Drosophila melanogaster: one gene and its partners. Changing the gene in region 2 together with the main gene of any one other region gives a genetic interaction. Each region holds a gene or a part of one and is shown on either strand. Other genes may lie near its edges.

Region 1 (5,685 bases), on a different chromosome or scaffold from region 2:
CTCCGCAACCGCATCTACATCCACATGCTCCTTCCTACCAACGTGGGCGCCTACAAGTGGGCGGGACGGGGTGGGGGCCGCATACCAAACAAACCGCAAAAGGAGAGCGGCTGCTCGCTCGCACTCTCCCGCTCTCGGACAGCTGCCGGTAATCAATATTGATGATGATAGCAGCAGCCGAAGAAGATGAAAAGCAAAAGGAAAGGTGTCCCGATTGTTCGCAGTGCATCAAAGGTAAGCCAGGATATATTGCCAATACAAAATACGGTAATAAAATGCACTGCTGCTTTCTCAGCTAAACCATCAAAACCTTATCAAGCCCTACTAAACTTTAAGACTATCGGTAAAAACAAAAACGAAAATGGGATATAACAAAAAAGGCCTTTAGGAGCAAAAAATAGAAACAAAAAATAAATGGGTTATCCTCTAAAAAATCCTCTAAAAATTTATACCTTGCTGACAGATATAAAACTGAACTTTAAGGACACCAGGGTGTTAAATAATGCATAATGAAAATTCAACCGAGTTAATAACTTTTCAATCAGTGACTTTCCTTTCCTGTCTTTCACCCACAGGCACTTCCCACCTTTTCTTCGCTCTTTTCCTTTCCGCAAGGAAATGATTCACAATGCAAAAAAAATGGCAAGGGAAAAGGAAAAGAAAAACGAAGGCGTTGTAGGAGGAAGTAAAAGAACCCGAAAGAGCGAGAGAGAGCGATGTATGCAGAGAGAAGGCAATGAAAATGTTTATCAAACGAGAAAAGAGCAGCGACGAAGATGAGGAGGAGGCGGCTGCAAAAGGAACAACAACAAGCTAGAGATTACAATGACAATGCATCCATGAGATACTCAGATACAATTGAAATCGAATATAATTTCTCAATTGAATTGAGTCGCAGAATGTAAATAAAGCAACAAGACATCAAAGAAAATTGGTGCAAATAGGTGTTAAATGTACCGAAAGTGACAATACCCTAGATAAAATAATTAGTTATTTTTTTATGATGGTTTCATTCAAAAAGTTAACCAGTTGTTGAAAGATTGGTACTTTTCCGCTAGCAATCAACCCCGAAATTCCTACATTACAAAAAAAAATGAACTGATTGAATTCTGGTTTGGTCGACGTGACTGTCTGCACACGCATTTCTTTTATGCAGATAGATCCCTGTTCAAGAAACCCCAGCTTATTTCTTGCAACTTCTTGATACCGATACCTATGAAAGTAACTCGCAAAACAATCCAAACCTTTCTGAGTTTGTGCCATCGGTTGTATCAAAGAGTTGGCAGAAATCTGAAGTGTATCCGATTCCTAAACGCAAATATATCGTCCAGTTATAGTTACAAAATGGTGCATGGTAAGCAGAAAAATTTGCCACGCGGCTTGACAAGAAAACCGATCTGGCCTGAGGTTTATTTTGTTTTGCTTTGAAATCGGAGATGCGTTAAAAGGGATGATCATTATGATCGTGAAGATATTGTAGATTGGTTCAAGGGCATTCAAAGCTAATCAGATTTATTCATTTCAAGTTTGTATAAAAAGGGTACTCATACAGAGTGAATTTCATATTTTAGTTCATAAACTAGAAATTAATATTCTCAGAAATGCTGGTTGGTTTTTGCAAATCTACTATTATTGCACACCGCTGTTATTAAATACGTATCCATAATTCTAAACACTTGTGTGTAATTCGAGTTACCGTTAACCAAACAGAACACACAATTTTTTATATGAATTTCTACTAAAAATCACATATGAAAAAAAAATTACCCCATAATATCGGATGGCAAATAAGCAGAAAATTGCAAAATGGCACAAAAACAAAACTAACACTTGACTAAACAATCAAGGCGAAGCAGAACAGAAAATAAACAACAATGCCGGGCCAGCTGACATTATAAACAAAGGTAAATGGCACATAAAATACAGTAGAAAACGAAGGAATATTGGAGTTAATCAAATGCTTGGCCAGCTGTTTTGGAGAAATGGGAATGGAAAGAGGAAATGGGAAAAATCTAAGGTACAAAGTGCAAGCTGCAACAACAACTGAGCGAAAGTGAAGAAGCAGACCAAAAGGATGGGCACACACGCTGACACACACACACACACACACACCAACAATTACGCGACTGTTTTGCACTTTTGTTTCATTGAATTTCTCTGATTTTTCCTTCGTTTTGAAACATGTTTCGATTTGCTTTGCTTTTTTATTGGTTACTTTCTGATCGATTTGTTGCACTAAGAGGCAAAGGCCTCTCTTTTACATTTTTACCACACTTACGCGTATGTCAAACAATTTAAAATTACTTGTTTCTTGGCGTAAAACAATAAACTTAAAACAAGCGAACGGCCACGAATTTAATTTGGATGGGATATTAGTTTTTCGTTGCGTTTTGCTAATCGGACAAAAGGAAGGTAAATGACAGTTTTGACACTTGGCTGTGCACAAGCAAAAAGCGGAGAGCACTGCGAGAGAGTCGATTCGGAGAGCGAAAAAATGAGTGAGAGAGAGATGGAGAGAGAGAGAGAGGAATTAAATAAACGAAAAAGCGTGCATGAAAAATTGGCGAAAAAAGTTTTGTGCAAAAAAAAAAAGCGAAACGCCGAACTGCGGAAAGCAAACAATCGAATTCAACATTTTTTGTGCAAATTTTAACGCCAGGGAATTTTTTTCTTTTTAGTTTTCCTGGCAAAGGCGGCTCACACCCACACATACACAAACTCTCTCTCTATGTCTCTCTTTCGCTGCCACTCTCTTCAAATCTGCAGAGAGTCGGCAATCCACAATTTTTCGTTCTTTCGATTTTGCACATCTCTCCGCTTGTCACTTTACTTTTCGCAGCTCTTTGGCTTTTTGCAAATAAATTAATTTTTCAGCGCACATATAAATTTTCCATCAGTGCCATTTGTGCTCCGTTTTCTTATTCAATTTACACGCACACACAGCCGCAGCAGCAGCGCACACACATCTCTACATCTGCATGCCAGCTCGCTCACACACACAGCGACGCACACGTCACACTCATACACTCACACGCACGCACATACACAGTTTTTTCTTCGATTTTGCGCTAGCTCTCGCAGCCTTTTTTCGCTTTTCCTCGTCGTTTTCAAGGGCGCCGCGAGTTAAGCGATTTTGCAATACGTTCGCGGCGCGTTCGATTTGCGTTCTTTTACTTTTTATCCGTCTGCAGACAGCGAAAAAGACCAACAACTTGCCTTGCGTTTTTGTCCCAACTCAAAATGCCAATAAAAATATAATATCAAATAATAATACCAAATACTGAATACGGGATTTTTGGCACATATAGCGGTCACACTATACTGTTCAAAACTGATATTTTAGCATTTTTTGGTTTGGTTCTGTGCTAAATACAACTATCGATTGTTAAGTTCTACACGCAGGCGATTGTCGTGCGATATACGATATCGTTTACATATCGTTTAGAAATCCCTAGCGCAACATTGGCGCTCGTTTTTCCATTATTCGAAAATGAATTTAACATAAAATTAACATATACTTTAGAACTAAGTTATACTAAGGCGAGTGGCACAACTCTACTTTTATTTGATTGTTTTAGGAATCATTTTTGTATATAATGGGCTTATATAATGTCGATAATAAGTTCTGGTCAAAAATCGGACTATTATAAATTTTAATTATATTTATATTTAATATCATATCATCTATAATTATCATATAATATAGTTAAATTTTTTATTAGCAAAATAACTGCAGTAGTTACTCTTTTTGTGTCGAAATCACTGAAAAAATCGTTAAACAGATCCCGCGTCGAAGTACCGAACCAACAATTTTACATTTACATATATTTTACATTGGTTCGCTTCTTTGCTTTGATTTAGAAGCGAATTTCAACGAATCTAAGCGAATTCAAACGACTAAAATTCGATTGGTAAATCTTTATAAAAATATATGTAACAAATAATTTGAATCATTAAGAAAATTAATACCTTAACAATGCTTAAATTTGTATACTTTACTTGTTTTTATAAACAAAATAGATACATAGAACTGGCGCTCAGTTTTCTATTTTTTCTATTAAATTTTTCTATTGATGTTTATTAAAGCTTAAAAATAAACATAAATTATTGCCAGTAATTATGTAACTGCTTTTGAGCATTTCCTGTTCTAGCGCTAAGACTTCTCAAGAAAGTTTTGTGGAGTAACAGGTATCTGATAGTCGCACTGCTGCTTGTTACCTTCTTGCATTTATTTAACTCTTTGGTTCTTCTTTTAATTAAGTACCTTGCTGATACTCTGCTTGCTAACTTTAATCAGTTAAGACTTTAAATATATTCAACTCTTACCAACTTTCTTAAGCTGGCTAACGGGTATCTAATAGTCACACCATTCGACTAAGACATTCCTTTTTTCTTTTTTTTTTCGTCCTGATGGAGTTCAGTGAAGCGTTCTGATTTTCTTGTCAAAGCGGAAAGAAATCACGCTAATGATCGACGCACCCTCCACCAATTGAAACTCCACTAAGGAGTTCTATATATGTACATATGCATGTATATACAATTATATATATATTTATATAGTATATCGCAACTGACCACTTCGTTCGCAACGGAACGTGTTCGGGATTAGAATTAATTCCACTGACCAGCCCCGCCCCGCCCCGCCCACTTTCACACAGCGACTGCAGGCGACACCCTCGCATTTGGCCAACGTCTCATTTAAATTGCAGCAGGCAGGAAAAACATTTGGCAAACATTTTTCGCCCCCCAAAAACTGCCCCTTTTTTCGCTTGTGGCATTCAAAGGTTTGACGATTTGCCGTACATGTTTGGTGCGTAATTAGTGCAGACCGATGCGTTGCACCCTTGTGAAATGCCAAAAGTCCTGCGATCCACTCAATCGTGCTCACTGGCATTTTTTCCTTTTCTTTAACAATTTCCATTTGATTGCATTCGTGGGGAAGAAAATGCTGGCTCCGGCATTCATTGGGGTGACCAACGTTGGCGGGCTTAACTGTCATTTCCATGAGATGCCCATTTGGTCAAGCACACACTGAGCGAAAAAGGTTAAAAAATTACATATGTATATTTTTTTGAAATTGTTTTAATTTTTCTGTATTGAAAAATAGATAATATATAATAACTCATGTTATTTCAGATTATGATAAAACGAAAATAAGTTCTAGATTCTTTTTTGTGACTGTGAATTTTTCAATTACACAGTTTACATAGTTACATAGTATATTGCTTTGCCTGTGAAGTTTTCATTTCTACGATTTGTGATTCGGAGTATAAATATTTTTTTCTTCTGTGTAGGTGGAAATACACAACTCCGTTGGCAGCATACACATCCCCAACGCATATGCAAAACTTTTGCGTTTCATTTGAATTTCCCTCTCTGCGTATGCCACATCGTATCCTCGCATCCTCGCACTTTCTTCTCATTTCGCTGCCCGTAATTATGAAGATGAATGTCCTTATTGCTTTTATATCCCTTTTGCGTGTATGTGAGTGCTTTCAGTATATGTGGTTGAGTTTAGCCGCCGACATTCTCTATTAATAATGCTTTCAGTCACACTCTGCATACAAGTTCGTTTGAATTTGTTGCCATTTGGAACGTTGGCAGTTGCCTGGGTACTGCACAGTGGGGCAGAAATGTTATTAATGTTGTAATGTAAATGTAATGTTCTTAATTTTATCTTAATTT
Region 2 (7,192 bases):
CACAAAAGGTGTGCGCTGCCACCTTGATATATGTGATATATGCGAGCGAGTCCCTCTCTGTGGGTTGTGGGTCCTGCGAGATTCGAGTCCTGTGCGTCCGTCCTGCCTTGCGGCGAAATAAAGGCGAGTGGCCCCGCTGCGCAACACAACTGCTTCCTGCAGCAGTTGCTGCACGCTGCACTTACGGTTAGACGCAAGGACACACCGTCCGCTGTCCGTTTCGGCCCGCTATCTGACCATCTACAGCTGTTTTCGGCTGCCCAAAACAATGCGGCCATAATGCAGCAAAACTCTCAATTTAATTAGACCGTCAATTGTGCAAGCCCTCGAAAGTAGGGAGAAATATGGGCATATTTGACATAGGGATGTCCTAGGTAGATGGGCGTCCGGGGGTTCGCCAGTTGGGAGTACCTGGCCCACTGGCCAGAGATTTCACACTCTTCTTCTAGTTACCCACCCAAAGCGGAATTGCGACAATATCAAGCCGAACTCATCGAGATGGTCAAATATCAGCGCTGCGATTATCAAAATAAATAATTTGAGGTGAGTTATAAATGTATCAAAAAATGATGAAACAACTTAATGTTTTACGATTTTTATGTAAATCTTTATTAATTAATTACCCATACGAACAGATTTAGGCATATATATGTATATTATTAACTTCATTTAAACAACTTGAATCATGTCAAATGAATTTGAATGGTATATACATATATAATAGATTGTGAGTGCCAAAATCACTACTTCAGTTATATTGATTGTGGTTCGAACACGTATAAATAATATTACTATAAAAATGTATATATTATGTATTATTATATATATTACTACTGGTATTGAGAAGAATTGTAACTGCACAATTGGTTGATTCCTTAGTGCTTTATCCTATTTTACGCTTTATTCCTTATAATTACTAAATTAATTTTAATATACAAAATATATAGCAATTTACTAGTTGTTAGAAAAAGTTGAAGAAAATGTAATATTGGTTAACGTTCCTCGTGGATAGTTCTCGAATGGATAGTTTACCTGGATTAGCGAGCTGAATAGCGGTGTTATGTTGGTCATTTCCGTTGATCACTTTCTAGACCGATTTGAATGTCAGGACTTTTTGGGAGGGGTGAGCAGGCCGCTCAAGGTCACCCAGAGAGTTTGAGAGAGGGAGAGAGAGAGAGGACCTAGCTGACCGGGCTTAGAAGAGTGAGACAGAGCCAGGTAGGCCTGGTCTTTTGGGGCACCAGGTAGGCTGCCTCTCTTCTTTTCCCGCTCTTTGAGTGAGTGACGCGGATTGGGCAAGTGGGAAAATTCCAGTTGCAATGGCGACCGGCCCAAGATCGCCCTGGTCCGCAGGAGCGAGCGGGATGGCGCGCGAGGACAGCCGGTTGGCAGGCTCAAAGACGGCACCAATACACACTTCGGCCAGGTAGGCGCATACGCACACACGTGCAGGTGACCTGGGAATAGGATACCCCGAATACGATCGGTGAGAGCGGGCGCGGGAGCGGGACAGCCTGCGGTTCTTCGGATCTGAATCTGATCGGTCCGAATCGGCGGTCTTCTTCTGGCTCGGACCATGGCGTACCGCTCGTCGGCACTCGGCGGGCAGCGACGCCGGCAGAGGCCGCTCAGCTCGCCTCAGTTCCCATTTCAGTTTCGGTTTCGGCCTTTTGGCGCTGCTCATCGGTCGGTCGGTTGGTCGGTGGTCGGTCGGTATCGCTCTGGTATTCTGGTATCTGGTATCCGCAGCCTCTCAGCGAAGAAAGCTGGTCAAATCCAGCGCGACTTTGGGCTCAGTTCGGTTTCACACTCGAACGCGAGCAGAAGTGTCCGCGAATCAGTCTCCAAAGCATCGAAATCACCAAATCAGAACACAAACTGAAGCACGGATTTGAACTCGATCTGTGGTCAAGTGGTCTCACAAATATTATATATAAATACATTTTTTTGCGAGTGTTGTGCTGCAAGTGTGTCCATTGAAAACCGCCGGAAAATCAACGAACAACGAATCTCGAACGATCATCGAACATTTGGATTAACGTACAGACTTTTGGGAGCTCAGGCGCAGCACAAACCACGGGGATCCCGCGAGGATCCTGAACGATTCCATTTTTCATCTATAATGCGGTGTGTGTATTATTTTTAATTTGATCAAGACTTAAGAGCAGGCACAATTGGAGAGTGGAGAAGCGATCGAAAAGGATATTTTGGTCAATATCAATTCTCCACTCTTCAAGTGACTTATCAACAAGAAACGACCAACGATCTACTGTTAAGCAAAAAGGACATTCTGTGACAGCAACTGCAATTTTGGGAATTAGGATTAAATTATATAGTTTAATTAATTCGCTCTGCATTAAAATGCAAATCCATTCAGGATATTGTTACTTGTGCGAATCCTTTCCGTTCGTTTTTAGCAGCAAACGATCTTCAGTCTCGAATTTTAATCCTGTCAGATAAAGTAGCTAACTTGAATGGAGAATTTGAAATGTTCAAATTTTAGAATTAGCCCCAAATCCAAAATTCAACCTCAAAAGTTTCCATACACTTTCACACACTGGAAGTTAAAGCCAAGCCAAGCCAGAAGGCAGAGATTTGTCGCCTGGAGAAGATTAGATCCTCGAAACTTGGATCGATACGTCTTCGTTATTCGCTCAGGCTACTCTCGAGTTAATTGTCTAAATTAAAAAGTTTCCCCGCCCTCAATATACACACATATCGCTCTGGAAAAGACAAAAAAAAAAAAACAACGAAAAGCAAAAAAAACCGCAAAACAAACATAGAGAAAATGTTAAAAAAATCGAACCAAATTGTTGAGACTGTTGTCTGGTTGCAGTTGCATTCGCATTGAAGGAGGCTCGGCCGATCATCCGACCCGTAATCCCGATCACCTCAGAGCTCCAGCATCGAAGCACCCGACCACCCAATCCCACCCAGTAACCCATCCACTCCCAAGGGAGTCCAGTTAGTTAACCATCTAGTCAGGGAGGAACAGTGATAGCAGTTGATCGTTGGTCGTCGCGCGTTGTAGCAGAAAATTGAATTTACTTTTGCATTCTCGATACTCATAGTGTTTTTTCTCCACATCTCTTCCCTTCTGACCCCCCATCCCCACCCTTCACATATATCCTATATATATATATTGTAACCCCGTTCGCTGTATCTGCACACTGATTTCGATACGGACCGCGGACAGTAGTTGGTTGGCAGTGCGCTGCGACCACAGCTAAAAACAGCACCACGGCAGCCGGCAACGGAAACGGAAACATCAGCGGAAGCGGTAGCGGTAGCGGTAACGGATTCCGGCGCAGAAGAGAAAGTGGCTACCATGCGGCGATGGCTCGTCCGCTGCTCCTGCTCCTGCCCATCCTACTCGTCCTGCTCCTTGCCGCCCAGTTGCCCCACCTCGCCGAGGGGCGCAGCACCACCAGCAGCGGCGGTCTAACGGTTATCGATAGCGAGCGCCTGCGCATTCGCACCACCTCCAGTACGGCTTCAGCTCAGCATCCCAATCAGGGCACGATCCCTGCCAGCGCCGCTAGTCCGCGCAAGCGCCACAGAAAGCGGAACAGCAACTGGATCGACTATCGCAACTTCGACGAGAACACCACCGCCCTGGAGTGGGCCAATCCCTGCGGTGGCAACTATCATCCCTCGGCGGGTGATCGCTTCAATCGCCAGCGTCCCAGGCAGGTGAGTTCAAACGGCAGCGCTCTTTGGACCCGATCCATATGTAATCCGCTCCCCATTTTATCTGCTTCTCCACAGAGCTTCAATCAGCTGAAGCGCCACGCCTTTCGGGAGTACCGCAGCCTAAACAGTAGCCAGGACTCGGCCATAGATATCCGCAACATGACCATGTGGTCCCTCCACACGCACAACTACAAGTTCCTGCCCAAGCTCAAGCCCAATTCCACGGTAAGCAATCCTACAGTCATACTTTTTATCTATTAACTTAGTTGTCAAAACTAGTTACTAAATCCATCTCGTTATCAACTTTGTATCTATGTATCTTGAAAATAGCTCAATTATCTCGTTATCAACTTTGTATCTATGTATCTTGAAAATAGCTCACAATTGTCTCCATCTTTTTGATTTCTTCCACAGATTGCCCTAAAGCGCTGGTACCGCAACATGCAAACTTACGTGGCCAGCTTTGCGTATCTGAGGCGCCAGCAGATCCGCTGGGATCAGCGGTCCATCACCCGCGAGTCCAGCACCGCCCGCGAGCTGCGCGAGCTGCTCCTGAGCTCGCGGCGCATCCTCTGCGAGCTGGAGACAGCCGTCAACCAGACGCAGAGTCCGCGCCAGAAGCAGCGGCGCAGTGGTGCGGCGGTCACAGCAGTTGGCGGCACCACCATGCTGGGTCAGCAGCTGCCACAGATCTCGCGTCTCGAGATGAACAAGCGTTTGAAGCTGCGCTCCAAGACGAGTGGGCCCGGTATGGGTGGTGCTGCTTCCAGTGCATCCATGGCGGCGGGCGAGGCGGACTCGATCGATATGCGCTTTGTGAAGCACCACTACTACGACTTTTTGCGCACCATGTACCAGCTGCTGCGGCGGGATGGCAAGCGGGTAAGGAGTCGGCCACGGAAGCACCACAAGAAGCAGCAGAGGAGCCAGAAAAAGTTGCTACAGCAGCAGCAGCAGCTGGCGGATCAACTGGAGCAGCGTTGGCGCAGCTCCACCTTGAATGGCAAGGAGTTCAACGAGGTATCCAAGCCAGTGGCCGGTGGTGCTGCTGGAGTTGCAGATGTTGCAGGTGTTTCCGGTGGTGGAAGCAACCAATTTGCACGTGGCAGACGTGGAAAGCGCCAGTCGAAGCGCGTGCAGCGCACGTGAAATAGCATACACAACATTCCCATATCTTTCCATTTCCCCTTACCTCAGGACTCGCCCCTTTCCTCTGTTCTACAAACCCCTAGCCTCAAATCCTTAATTTAACCGTTAATTGATCGATAGTAGCTTAAGTAAATTATTTGATTGACAGCACATAGTCTCTGTTCTCGAATTCATTGCAAGTATTACCACATTCCGTATTTATTGACATTCGTCGAGAGTGAGAGAGAGGGAGAGAGAGAGAAATAGAGAGAGAGATATAGTTATATAGCATACGAAACCACAATCTGCAGTTGCCGTTCTAGTCACATAAGAGCAACCGCCAACCACCACCCACTGGAAAGTATTATTCGCCACGCCCGCTTTGTAGCCCATTCCGCACCCGCATCGAGTACTATGTGACCCCCAGTAGGCTAAGCTAACCCATGGCATTCATGATCATAATTCCATATCCATATCCTTTAGGCTAAACTTTGATCCTAAGGCACACACACACACATTTTTTTTTTTTCGTAGGCTAGCTTGTGTTTCGACATCTGTGATATAGTGCTTGACTAGTTCGTATTTAACCTAATTGTACATATATATTATATATAGATCGCATTGGGGTGGCATGTGGCCGCATCCATGCCTTCGTAGTCCTAAGCTCGCCCTTAGAAATCGATTTTCGTATTTATAGAACCGACCGACATATGACTAAGCCAGCAGCGGAATAAAGCGAACAATAAACTGAATTGAATTTGAAAATAAATCTGGATTGCATTTCATTTTTGGGAATAAATGGTATACATATATCCATTTGGATATACTTAAATTTATGATGGAAAAGAACTTCGTACTTCCCATTTTGAGGTTCAACGTTTTTATCTTATATTTCAAAATTGAAATACCCGAATATCGAATTCAATTCTATATATTTTTATATCTTTTACCATCAAAAACCTATCAACCAACCTATCTTATGTGGCCAACACTTTCGCGTACATTGAATCCCTATACCTGGGGGAGTCAATTACTCCAATTCCCTTGACCCACTTTCTGCGGATTCGCTTTCTGCTGCGCCTTGGATGCGTCTTTATGGCTCCTCCATGGGTCATGGGTTTTATGATCTCCAGCGGCGTCAAACTATTAGCACGTCAGGCTCCCAGTTCCCCTCGATACCGAAACCGATCCCGATCCCGATTCCGATTCCGATCCCCACCTGCTTGTCTACCTGTGCCCAGAAACCCAGAGGAAATGAATGGACTGTGATCAATGGAACCACTCAATGAAAGTTCGCGCCAAGTGCATCAGAACTACATATACTCGTAAAGCTGATCACCATCATCATCGGTGGCATTAGCTCTTGCGGGAATGCTAAGGTGCCGGGATCAGGGGGCAGATGAGCTGACGCTTATCCCCGGGGTTAACTAAAACACGGCTACACTTGTCCTGGTCACCGATTTGCATTGCAGTCTGGAATCGAGAAATCCCCGCTTTGTTTTAAGCGGATTTAGGCAAATTTACTTTTTAATGCCTTGGCTTATTGCCAAGCTCCGTTTAGGGCGCTTAGTGGCAACTTATGGCCAAGTCCACTCGGATTATTAGCGCTCAGCGAACGGAAGCAGACTGCCGTCTACCTTGCGAGTCCTTAAGTGTCCTGGCCAAACAGAGGGAGAAAGGGCAGAGGGAAGGGCAAAACGGAGATGTTGACATGCAAATGGATTAGCACGAGACGCTGAGCAAAAACATTTCTGCATGCATTATAATGCCGCCTAAGCCGTTTATTGATTGCAATCGATCGAAGGAAGTCCAGACTTTAAGCCGCTCCAGGGTTATGGTTTTTATGTTCGGTTTTGGTTTTGGTTTTGGGTACGGGTTCGGATTCGGATTCGGGTCTCTTGACCATAGTCCAGTGTCAAGTGTCCCCTTTTTGGCCTGAGCCCTTTTGGGTAAGTAGGTGTTGTTATGTTTTTAGCTGTCATAAATATTGTAAAACTCGGTAAATATTTAAACAGCGTGCACAATAAAGGCAAATGCCAAGAGGCTCGACGTCGACGGGCATACCAGTATTTCGGTATTTCAGTTTTCAGTTTTCGGATTTCGGATTCCGTTCGGGGCATTGTTTTTGGCCTGGTCATAACGGCCCGGCCGCACCGCCCGACTCTACCTACTACCTGCTCCTTCCTCCTTCCTCCCGGTGAAATTTGAATATGTGCCTGGCCGTGGACGCAGGGGTGCGGTGGACAGAAAAAAAAAAGAAAGAAAAAGATTAACAACATTTAATAACCCATCATTGCGCCGTCCCGCTCCCACGCATTGTGTCGACAATTTTGCAAGATAACTGCATTTGTGCAGTCCTTTGTGCCGGGCC
Region 3 (5,682 bases), on a different chromosome or scaffold from region 2:
GCATTGGCTGATAGCCAAGCTCTGGCCATTTCGCAGTTCAATTTGGCCATTATTTCTTTGATATGATGGCTTAATCAGAAAAAATCGTAGAAAAATGCAAAGCGCACACAGATACATACAATACACACTTAGGCAAAAGTCAGCGCGTGCCTGTCGCCGTAATTAGCTCCAAAATGGGGGATTTACAGGGGGCACGGATTGGGATGCTGGTTGGAATCGGACTTGGACTCACGATGCCGTCGCAGCAAAGCGCACTATGGAATGTGGTTTTTCAAGCGCTAACACGCACACTCATACCTGCTGGGTTGCGTTGAGTCTGTTTCTGTGTGTATCTATGTGCTGGGAGGTGGGTGGCTATGGTTCTGAACCCAAATGGTTAACTATTTAAAGGAAACTATAATATCATAAGAGAAGTCCTTGCAAAATGTGACGATTTAGGCACTACTAACTAACTAACTACTTTTGGGTAATCCACTTGGCGTTTAGTATGATTAACTGGAAATAAAATACGTCAAAGTAAAATTCTGGAAACTTTTTATTGATTTTACTACAATTTTGCCTGAATGAACAATTAAAAGGTGATTTTTTGCCAGCGAGTGTAGCGTTTTGAACTATAAAGACGTCAACAACAATTGCCAGTTGTTCGAGTTTCCTACCCCCAACGATTTTTTTAACGGTTTCGATTCGAATGCACGTGCAGGCTTTTCTCTAGCATTTATTTGCATACATGCCGCAGCTGTGCTTATTTTTATGGTCATAAAGAAAACAGCGAAACAGTAAGCCAGAGCAAATAACTCGAACAATTTCTGCGAAAAGGGCATTGTGACAGCAGCGATCGTCTGTGCGAAAAAAAAGGGTAATATCGCTTTTTAAGGTTCTGGCATCTTTATCGGTTTCATAACTCGCTTATCTAGCCATACATACATACATACATACCACATCCACATATCCGGCTATGCGGTGGTGGTCTCCCGTCTCCCATTAGCATAGACTGCGTAGCCAAAGTTTTCGTTTTCCTATCAATATTTGCACAGTTGCTGGCGCACAATGCGCACATTCAGTTATTAATTTGCAGCTACAAGATCACTGAGTACTTGGTATCGACGGCCCGCTTTTATTCGCCTCCCATTTAATTTTTACTTTTCTGTTTGCCCGCCGAATACAAACATTTGCCTCAAAGTACTGTGCAAACAGACACCGCCAGATACGCCATGGAGTTCATTAAATTGTGGCCAAATGGTTACCCAAACATACAGCCAGCCAGCCAAGCAGCCAAAACTTCCAATATGCGAATACCAAATTTTGTGTATTAATTTATTTTCCAACGGGTAAGAAACAAAGAGCCCACAAAGAAAACCTCGAGAACTGCAGAGTCAACAAATTGAGTCGCCATTTTAGCTGGAAATTGTGTCGCTAGTTGCAGTTGCCCTATTGCTCTTACTGTTGCTTTTGCTGTTGCAATTGCAATTGCTGCTGATGCACAGAAAAGGGCACGCAGACGGCGGGAAAAGTGGCAGAGTGGAAAAATCGGGCGGTCTTAACACTAACTAACTACTACGCTTTACCTTGTACATTTGACATTACGAAATGCACAGCACAGTGCTCAGTGCTTGGCTAATCAGTGCGTTCTGGTATTCTGGTATGTTTGCCGTGATATCTGATGGCTAGGTGTGGGGGTAACTCGAAACAGGGGCGATAGTGCACACAAGACTCTTTGACTAAGCCAGCGCCAAGTCAAGAGGTGAGCCACAGGGCAGGTGAGACCGTCGCGAAGGGCAGGTATTAAATGGAGGGAGCATTCACTCTGGACTAGGGGATACCCTGGCGTATACGTGATATTGGGAAATATCATTCAAAGTCCATATTCCAGACACATAAATGTTAAGTAAGCTTATATTACTTAAAATACTACGAATTCACACACTATTGCAAGTGTTTTTTAATCTATGAGCTTAGTAAAATATTTGTAATATTGCACACTTTGCAGCTACCCCTCGATAATTGATATTCCCAGGGTAACGATAAGACCAAATAATACGAAATGCAGCCGAAAACGAAGCTATATTTAAAGTGCAGTACAGGGGAAAAATAAAAAAAAAACATCACAGCGATAAGATAAACGACAGCATATCGCTGGCACGAAACTACAATAAAAAAAAAAACACCTGAAAACGGTGGAAACTCTAGAGACCAACTGATACGGTGGCCAAATTCGGGACGACTTGGCTCTTTTGATATATGGGCAGCCAGTCAGTCAGCCAGATGATCTACATAAACACATTTTGATAGATGATGGGCGGCTTGAGGAAGATGGATAGATCCTTGCGGTGCACTTACTTTTCCCCTTGACGAACTCGTTCTTGTTCTTATCCTCCAGACTGGTGGGAATGGTGACTCCGTTGGCTCCCAGTCCCAGGGCGAAGTTGGCCCCGCCCCTCTGTCGATTTTGGGCCGAACTGCTGCGGTATAGGAATCGATCTCGATCCCGATCGCGATCTATATCCTGATGGCGCTGGCGATTGTTCTGGCGGGCGTAGCGATCGCGGGCCGCCGACGCGGGCCAAATGCAAATGCAGTGGGCCAGGAGCAGGAGCAGCAGGGGGAAGGGGCAGGGGCCGTTGCGCCGTCGCAGCAGCATTGTTGCGGGGCGGTGGGTGGTTTGGTGGTTGGTGCTTTTTGTGGGCGTTACTGGTGGGATGAATCAAGCCCTCTTCCAAGCTATAACCCCTGACGTCATAGGGGTTATTTTTTATTCGTTTCTTTTTCTTGAACTTGCGGTTTACTTTCGGCTTTTTGCTCACTCAGCTTTGCGTGCCAAAAATACAGCTTTTCATAAATTTGATTTCGACTCTTTCACTGCGTTTGCTGCGGTTGCTGTTGTTGTTGTTGTTGTTTTGAATTTAAGCTGTTGTCGTTGCAATTTGCCACTGTATTGGTGTTTACATTTCACTGTGTATGCGCGTGAGAGTGAGTGTGTGTTTTCGAGTGGGTCTTTTGAACGCGCCAGTGAGTGAGTGTGTGCGTGAGTGTAGGAACCAGTTTCACATTACGAGCCACAAGAGTCGTCCGAAGGCTTTCATATATATATATATATATATATGAGTGTATGTAAAAAATAAAATTTTTGTTATTTTTCAGATGTATTTTTCAGCTTCTTTTTTGAGTTCGCCAACGATTTTTGAGGTTAGAGAGGCGTGCGCAGGCGCAGCTCTTAGCTTTCAGCTTTAATTGATTGCCCTAAGCAATTGTTGTGTTGCCCCCGCAGCGGTTAACTTGCACAAAACACACACACTTGGCCATCATTCGAACTGAGCCACAACCGCCACAGCCGCGGCTGCCAATTAGCAGGGTATTCACAAAAATACGCTTAGTAGTATAGTATAGGCCAAAGGCACTTGGCTTACACCCCGTTTTTGGCTTTGGTTTTGGTCGTTTTGCGAACTGTGATTTCTCGGTACTTCGATTAGCACGATCTTCGAATTAGCAAACGCTGCGATCGAGAGCACAGATATGGCCGAGGATTCGAGCTCAAGACGTCCGTACTGAGCGATTCGCGTCCGCGCAGCAACAAGTTGTATTCGAGACTGAGGCCAAAGCCGCAGCCAAAAGGCGCTGCTCCCTCTCTGTCTCTCTCTCTCACTCTCTCGCCGTGTTTCTTACTCTCGATTGCGGCGAAAAGAGCGCGCACAGGTAAAAATAAAGGTGAACGGCGAAATCTCGAGCTCAGATCAGGTCAAAATAAAAGCAAAGCCAGCGATACAGCAACAACTACGGCACAGCTGCGCACCGCTGTCGCCACCTCTCGCTCGCTCAGTGCAGCGTTCCCACTCGCACCGCCAGCGGACCATCTCCATCCACAATCCACAGGTAATCGTAAACGTAGCAGCAGCATTTTAAAAAGTCAGCGTAATACGAAACGATACGGCCAGATACATTGGGCAATCTTCCCCCAGACCAGCAAATGCTCTACATATCATGGGAAAATGCTAAACGTTGGCCCTAATGCACAGAATCGAATTTAGCGCCATCTCAAATGAACGGAAACACCAACTAGAGATCTTAAGTTCGCAGAACATAACTTCAACTAACAATCTTAACATAGAGTACATGGCTCAGAGCGGTTAAGTATCCCAAGCTTGAAGAGTGGATACCAAAGAAGGACAATCTTTTTGCACAAAATATGTTGCTCGATATACAGGGCGTGTATAAATAATATACACACGGGATTTATGTTAAAAAAGTTAAGAAGCATTTATACGCAACAACCTCAGTTTTAAGATAGCAAAGTTTAGGTAGGATTAAGAAGGCGCCATAAATAGCCTTTTCAACTGCAGAGACGAGTTTTCCAACAAAGGAAAGTACTTGAGCAACAATGTCCTGATTTTCCCCTCCCCCCAAAATGCCCAATAGCAAAGACAAGAGCAAAAAAACCAATGCGGGGATTATCCGACAGCATCTTAACTCCGACAGCTGTGCAGGGCATTTAAGATTCGCATCGATTGCAGGTCGTTCCCAGGTAAGATCTTGTGTATATCCCAATTTCTTGACACTGCTGCTGTTGTTGTTGTTGTTGTTGGAGGTTCTGTTGTTGCGGCGAATTTGAGAGCGTTCAGGTAAAGCGATCGCCGCTCTCTCACCTGGCTGTATATACATGGGTATGTGTGGGCAATGCTGCCATATAAGCACAAAAGATCTCGGCAATTGTATCTGTATCTGTGTGTGTTTGTGTGTGTAACTGTGCCCGCATCTGCATCTGTGTCTGTGAGCCGAGCCTGCGTGGGCCATGGATTGTCTTTTGGCAAAAAGATTTTTGTACGAGCGTTGTCAACATTGTTAGGGCAGATCCAAGACCGAGATCTCGTTGGCCTCTTCTTCACCTGTTCCCAGCCCACAAGAAATCGGGGTTTTTACGCCTGCGCCATGTGCTCTGCGGGATCGGGCCAAAAGGACACTGTTTCGGCAGGTAAATCCGAAGCGTTTTGACCTTTTTCACTTTGCCATAACAGAAATACAAAAGGTGCACTTGGAAAAGCGCAACTAACTCCTCGGTCCACATTTGAATCTCGAATCCCACGCTGTGACTCTCGAGAGGCGTTGCATTGTCTTGCTCGGCGCTTTGTTTCAGAGCATGAAAATACATTTAAATTGAAAAGCATTTCCACAGATTTCCACGATGGGGTAAAAGCGCCATGCTCCGGTCTGCAGCCATAATCAAACATATTAATAGCCGTCTGTCCCAAGCCAGAAGACCTCAATCAAAAGGTACACTGCCCAAACCGTACGGAATCATCTGTCAAAATCGAAGAGCATGCAACTGACAGCCGAACATCGAGTTGAGAACGATCTTAGAACTCAGAACTCTGAAACCACTTCAGGGCACTCCACCAACTCCGCCAGTACGAACCACAGGTAAACGCCGCTCGAGAGGTGTAAGATGCCGAGATTCTGAGATTCCAAGATGCCCCGACCCACACTCATAAACATTTGATCAAGCGTACAAAATGCCATGCGAAGAGAAATGTTTTTTAACTCCCCCACTCCAGTGCAGCACTCCATCTGTCTATGATCTCTCCACTGGTTTAACCAATTTCAAAAGAAAGCCTCGAGAACCAGGCCCTTGAAGTTGATTCCTGGCCGCTCTACAGGTTGTCGGAATCATTGGAATCATCGTGATCATCACCA
Region 4 (5,721 bases), on a different chromosome or scaffold from region 2:
ATTATGCTAGTAGAAGTTACCTATATTCTAATTAAGTGCTCACTGAATTTGCCAACTAAATGACTTGTTTGCTTGCAGAAGTGGTCGGCAACAATAAACCCAATACTCTAGTCTCGCTGGCCTTCGGTGCTGCGGCTGGTGCCGCCGGGCAAACGGCCAGCTATCCATTGGACATTGTGCGGCGAAGAATGCAGACAATGCGGGTGAACACGGCTGGCGGAGATCGGTACCCAACCATCCTGGAGACTCTCGTCAAGATCTATCGGTGCGTGCAAATCTTTGTCAACGATTTTATTCATATTTTAATTGCGATTTTAATTACGATTTCCAAACAGTGAGGAGGGCGTCAAGAACGGTTTCTACAAGGGACTTAGCATGAACTGGATCAAGGGACCCATCGCCGTGGGCATCAGCTTCTCCACCTACGATCTGATCAAGGCGTGGCTCACGGAGCTGGCCAACTTGAGACGGGTTGAGAAATAGCCCAGCTCCCTGCCCCTGCCACTCGTCACCCATAAACACCACACCAAAAACGCACTGCTTTGATCTTAAGTCTCGCGATCGATGGATGAGCTGAGGAAATAGAAGTGAAGCACCGACATGCTCTAATTGTTAGATATTTTTTAGCTGTTAGTTGTGAGGGAGAGAAGCGATGAAGTGAAGACACCCGAAAGCGCTTAACTTTGTTATTAACCGTAATTGATTTATTATCGCCGTAAGCCGAAAGTATATCAGCCAATAAACTGTCTGAATAATGACTCGCCTGGCACATACTGCTCCCCAGGACCTCGTATTCAATGGTGTTGCTTTGACAATAACACTCCTAGATTAATGATTACGATTTACCCGAACATTTTGTATATTGTGTATTGCCAACTCAATGTCAAGGCGCTGCGACTGTTAAAATAGTCATGAATTTGAGGGTGTTCACACCAGCATATACTATGTAATTCTTGTATGTTAGTGTGTTTTTATTATTAAAATTTACAAAATTGTTTAACTGATCGATTATCTCAATCGTTTTTAAAACGCGCGCCATCGGTTGTGACAGGTGGCACCTCCGGCGATTACGCGATAACATCTTTTGCGGGGGTGCTGTATATCGAAATATGCTGGTAGTCGCGTTCGCAAAAATTCGAGTGCTCGCAAAACGAAAACAACGTAAATTTAGTGCGTTTTAAAAGTGATAATTAAGACTATTTGCCCTGGAATTAGGTGGCCCAACAGCCGTGAGCTGCAGGCGGTGTTGTTTTAAGGATAAAAAGCGTTTTTCCCCCAACACCTGCCATAACCAAAAAGGCAATCTGAAAGGTGAGTGATTTGCTGTGCTGCGCCGATTGTGGAATGGATTAATTATTTAAGGCCTATTGATTAGACGGGGCACAGCCTTAAAAAAACCCCTCTCCGAGCACCAACCCTCTTCATTTAAAGAGGGTCGGGGGTGGCATTCTCATGCTCGCTTGTTGCTGCGCACAACAGGTGAAAATTCAGAAGTCGCGTATGTTTATATGCAGAATACACAAGAGTTGGCAAAAGACCATTAATTGTGCTTCTCTGCGTCTGGGGTAACCTTGACTTTCGGTGGACAAATCAATCAAATGCAATTAATTACACCGCCAGCGGTGCATATGTGTGGGTGGCAGCTCGTGTGTGTACAGACAACATGCGCACTCATATCTGCGGCGCCACAATGATGCGAAAATGGGTGTAAACCCCCTTTGATAAATGTTTGTTTATCGCAATTAGCTTCGCAAATTGTTTATTCTTTAGCAGCCGACAGTGCTGTTAACTTAACAGGGGTGCGAGGGTTGCACTTCGGGTTATCAGAGTTTTCCACCATCAAATTCATTTTACTTCTAAATAATAACTTCAATCAACTTATTTTTCTTTAATTAACTCACAAAGTTTAGTGGAATATTAGCACGATAGAGATATATATTTCGTAACTTGTTTAGTCTTAATGTTTCTTTTAGAACATCTTTACGAAAAATCCTAAATGCTATTTGTTTAATTATGTGCATTCCAAGTCAAAAATTTATAAGTAATAACAATTCAAAAATTTTGTTTTACCATAGTTATCGAGCTTTGGTCCCTGGTTGTTAACAATATTTTACTGCGCTGCTCTATAAAATTAAATCAACTTATTTTCTAATTAGAATTTCCTATCTTCCCGGTTTGGCAGAGATTTATCAGAATCGATACCCACTGTTAACAGCGATTGTTCACATGTGTTCATCGTCCGATAGTATCGCATGTGGATCGCTTTCGCTCCAACTCTAGAGACGCGGCAGTCGTTTTTTAGCCACTATAGGGAATTGTTCGAATGCGGAGCAATTTTCAAATGCGCAACCAGTTGAATTCTTTTGCAAGTGCACTTTGTTTTCAAGGATTCGTTTAACTGATAGGATTTCCTTTGGTCGAGACTCTAGTTTTTTTTTCTAAATTCTCAGTGCGTGTGCGGGTGTGCATGTGCGTTCCGTCTCCCTCGCACTGCGTCGTGTGTGTAATGTTTGTGTGTGCGTGAAGCCAGCGCGATTTAAAAATAAAACGGCAAATACATAATAAAAAATATCGAAGAGCAACAGCGGCAGGCGTACCAATACAAACTAACCGATACCAGCCAGCCGTGTGTGTTTACACAGTGTTGTGCGTTGGTGTTTGTGTACCAAAGGTAAATAGAAATAGGAGAAAAAGAGCAACAAATTTACGAGTGGTGGGGGGTACGTATATAAATGCGTGTGTGGGTGGGAGGACTCCGCTGCAAATGTGCACTGCGCAAATAATGTGGGTGGGCGTGTGGTGGTTCCGCAAGGCCTTCACGAAGGTTCTCTGCCTTTTGGCCACAAATTCGATGCACCATCATCATGTGTTTCCACTTGACGCTTTATTTATACATCAACAAAATACCCACACACATGCACATGTGTTCTTCACGCTCCTGTTTCCCGGTCTTCTTCTTCCCCGTTCATTGTTGTTTCCTGGAAAGCCCATAAAAACAAAGGCAACAAGAATTTCGAGTGCAATAGCACAAATGGCAGCAACAACAACACTGATATCGAGTATATTAGCTGTTCCCCATCTCACCGTCCCACTCGCTCCCTTGCACAGCGAGAAAGCGAGGCTATAAAACTAAAAATTATATATATTTAATGTCCTCTGTTTAAAAAATTAAGCTTTTTTGTATAAATACATAATACAATTTTTTGTATAAGGCATTGGTAAATTAATCCCATGTGTTGGGGCCCGATTCAACACCTGGTATCACAACATTTGGCAACACATATTTAACTGTTACTCTAGCACTATTTTTTCAAGTGTCTGACGTACGGGGCCCTATCATTCTCATATTCACATGCTACTCTTGCTTTCATACGTCGCCGACTTCTGCGCGCTCAACACTTTTATCTTGCTCGCTGTCGTCGGTCGCTTACTGCCCCCTCCTCCGTCGCGGGCTTCCCCTCTCTCCACCATGACTTCTTGGCCTGGCTATAACCCGGCTGGCTTCTACCACTTCGGACAAATTACGATTGTCAGCGACGCCGACGTTAGCTAACCCCTTGGCGTTTCACATTTGATAAACCCGATCGCATTGCTGTGGACACCGTAGATTATCATTGGTCATAGTGGGTCCTCCAATCAATGGCCAGGTGGACGGTCAACTTACATAGGTTAGTTGGCAGAGGGGTTTCTTCGTTTATGTCAACTAATAAAACGCATACATTATATAACTACCATTATTTATTAACAGTGGTTAAAATCATTAATTTTATAGATGAAAGGGAGATACAATATAATATTGTACTTTATTCAGAATTGTATTTACGGTCTGAGAAACTATATTTTACATTTAAAGTTCACCCTGAATTGAAATAAAGTAGTAATGTGGCTTTTATATATTGAAAATATATTGTATATAGATTCGAATGAACAGATATACTCTAAATGCCACGATACTTAAAACTATAGGGTGCTCAAAGTTCGTTTCCCCAATTAGTTCTTCTATATCGTGTTGGAACTCACTCCCGTCAGATTTGAACATATGTATTTATGCAGCAAAGTTTATCGCCACCAATCCAGTCCACCACATGTGTTTAAAGTTATTTCTGGATCTTCGATATAGGCAGTGCTAATTATTGCGCTATTATGCGAATCACTATCCTCAAGCGCAAATCAAGCCGGCTTCTTATCGGCGACTCTCGTTATTTACTTTGTTACATTGACACCTCGTTATCAAAGTCGTTTATTGCGTTGCATTTCATTGTCGTAAATGGAGCACTCTGCTGCGCCTTCAATAGATTGGGGGCCTACTGTACTTACACATATTGTGCCTGCTTATCGCTGGCAAAATGCTTTTCTGGTGGTAGTAGATGGCCCCCGAACTAGCGAATCAAAACTTCAATCTATAGTTTCTGAGGAAGTTACTTTGAGGAACTTACTACAACGTATTTTACAAATATTTTTGTCAATATGCCCAATTATCAAGTTTGAAACCCGAAAATCTGTCTAGCTCGTAATCAAAGCTGTACTTATTATTAAAAAATTAAAGATCATATTTATTTATTACTTGAAAAACCCAAATCATTGGTTATGGAAATATTGACCCTAATGCTAATTAGTTTTTGAAAAACAAATAAGTAATATAGAGCAGTAAAAAATGGATTCAATAGAGGATTAATACATTTCTGCGAATCTTTTGTTGCACTCCGCTGATAAGGAGTCCCATTTATTGGAATTTTGCTAAGACTTTACAGTTAAGCAATAAAAGACAATGTTTGGTAGCTGTATTGTTTGATAACCTGACTGACTTCAGTCGAATAATCACTTTTCGAACCATTGAGCACCAACACAAGACTGATAACTGAGTGATACCCAACCATGATTGTATTTGTATTGCAGATGACAGTTTGGACAAATATTCCTTAATTACTTTATTTTTTGACAAATAGACTTGAGCACATATTTTATGAGCTTAAGATCGGTGGGATTTATGAACAGATAAGTGAGGTCATCGGGGCAAGTGTGACAACAAACATTGATCTGTTCGCGGAACGAGCATTATGTGGTGATAAGAAACCGTGTGCCGACACATTACTTAGCTCAATATAACCCAATCGATCCGGTGTTTCTCGTTAGACGAAACAAAAGCCGACAAACATCGTGCAAAATGTCAGGCGAGCAGCAACGATAAATGATTACTTAAATAATACTTGGTGTGGCAAAGTGGTGGTGGTGGGGGGGCTCACTTTGGGCTCGGTTGGGGGTGGTGCAACGGCGAGGTTTCCATTGTCGATGTACGGCGTACACCCACACAACCACGAGGAAAAGAACACTGAGGCATGCTTATTAAACTTTTATGAGTACAAAAACAAATACCACAAACGACTCTCGTTTCTCACAGGGCAATCGTAAGTGTGTGCGTTGTTTATAAAAAATTGAACAAGAAAAATATAAAATGAACGCGGCTGGCTGGCACAAATGTCGAAGCAGCAGAAAGCAAAAAGCAAAAAGCGAAAAGAACAGCCAGGAACAACAAAGGCAGCACACCCGCGCTTGGGTGTTTGCAATCGTCGGTTTTCGAAGTGGTCAGAAATGCTTGGACGCCATACTAAGGGCCGAGGAAATTGTAGTGACCCCAACCAAAGCTCTACGGGCATAACAATCCCAACTTTGATGTCATGCCCATACAAATTTTCCCCCCACAGAGTGCATGACTAATATTCA

Evidence for each region.
Region 1: of upd1 (region 2) and bun, changing one suppresses a phenotype caused by changing the other (phenotypic suppression), as found in Drosophila melanogaster (2 studies listed by BioGRID).
Region 3: of upd1 (region 2) and Egfr, changing one suppresses a phenotype caused by changing the other (phenotypic suppression), as found in Drosophila melanogaster (2 studies listed by BioGRID).
Region 4: of upd1 (region 2) and Stat92E, changing one suppresses a phenotype caused by changing the other (phenotypic suppression), as found in Drosophila melanogaster (5 studies listed by BioGRID).

The regions. Positions count from the first base shown.
Region 1 is NT_033779.5:12,543,365-12,549,049, forward strand, and holds the start of bun (bunched), read right to left. Parts: upstream 3,248-5,685; 5' UTR 3,046-3,247; exon of another isoform or gene 2,279-3,045; intron 980-2,278; exon of another isoform or gene 576-979; intron 235-575; exon of another isoform or gene 1-234. UniProt on the Drosophila melanogaster protein: Probable transcription factor required for peripheral nervous system morphogenesis, eye development and oogenesis.
Region 2 is NC_004354.4:18,303,744-18,310,935, reverse strand, and holds upd1 (unpaired 1), read left to right. Parts: upstream 1-1,644; 5' UTR 1,645-2,127; intron 2,128-2,676; exon of another isoform or gene 2,677-3,199; 5' UTR 3,200-3,336; coding exon 3,337-3,693; intron 3,694-3,768; coding exon 3,769-3,918; intron 3,919-4,107; coding exon 4,108-4,842; 3' UTR 4,843-5,582; downstream 5,583-7,192.
Region 3 is NT_033778.4:21,544,547-21,550,228, reverse strand, and holds the start of Egfr (epidermal growth factor receptor), read right to left. Parts: upstream 3,587-5,682; 5' UTR 2,639-3,586; coding exon 2,338-2,638; intron 1-2,337. UniProt on the Drosophila melanogaster protein: Receptor tyrosine kinase, binding ligands of the EGF family and activating several signaling cascades to convert extracellular cues into appropriate cellular responses. Known ligands include spitz, gurken, vein and giant-lens.
Region 4 is NT_033777.3:20,547,671-20,553,391, reverse strand, and holds the start of Stat92E (Signal-transducer and activator of transcription protein at 92E), read left to right. Parts: upstream 1-2,284; 5' UTR 2,285-2,671; intron 2,672-5,721. Other genes in the region: DPCoAC (dephosphocoenzyme A carrier), read left to right, coding at 79-265, 336-483. UniProt on the Drosophila melanogaster protein: Might play a role in signal transduction and activation of transcription.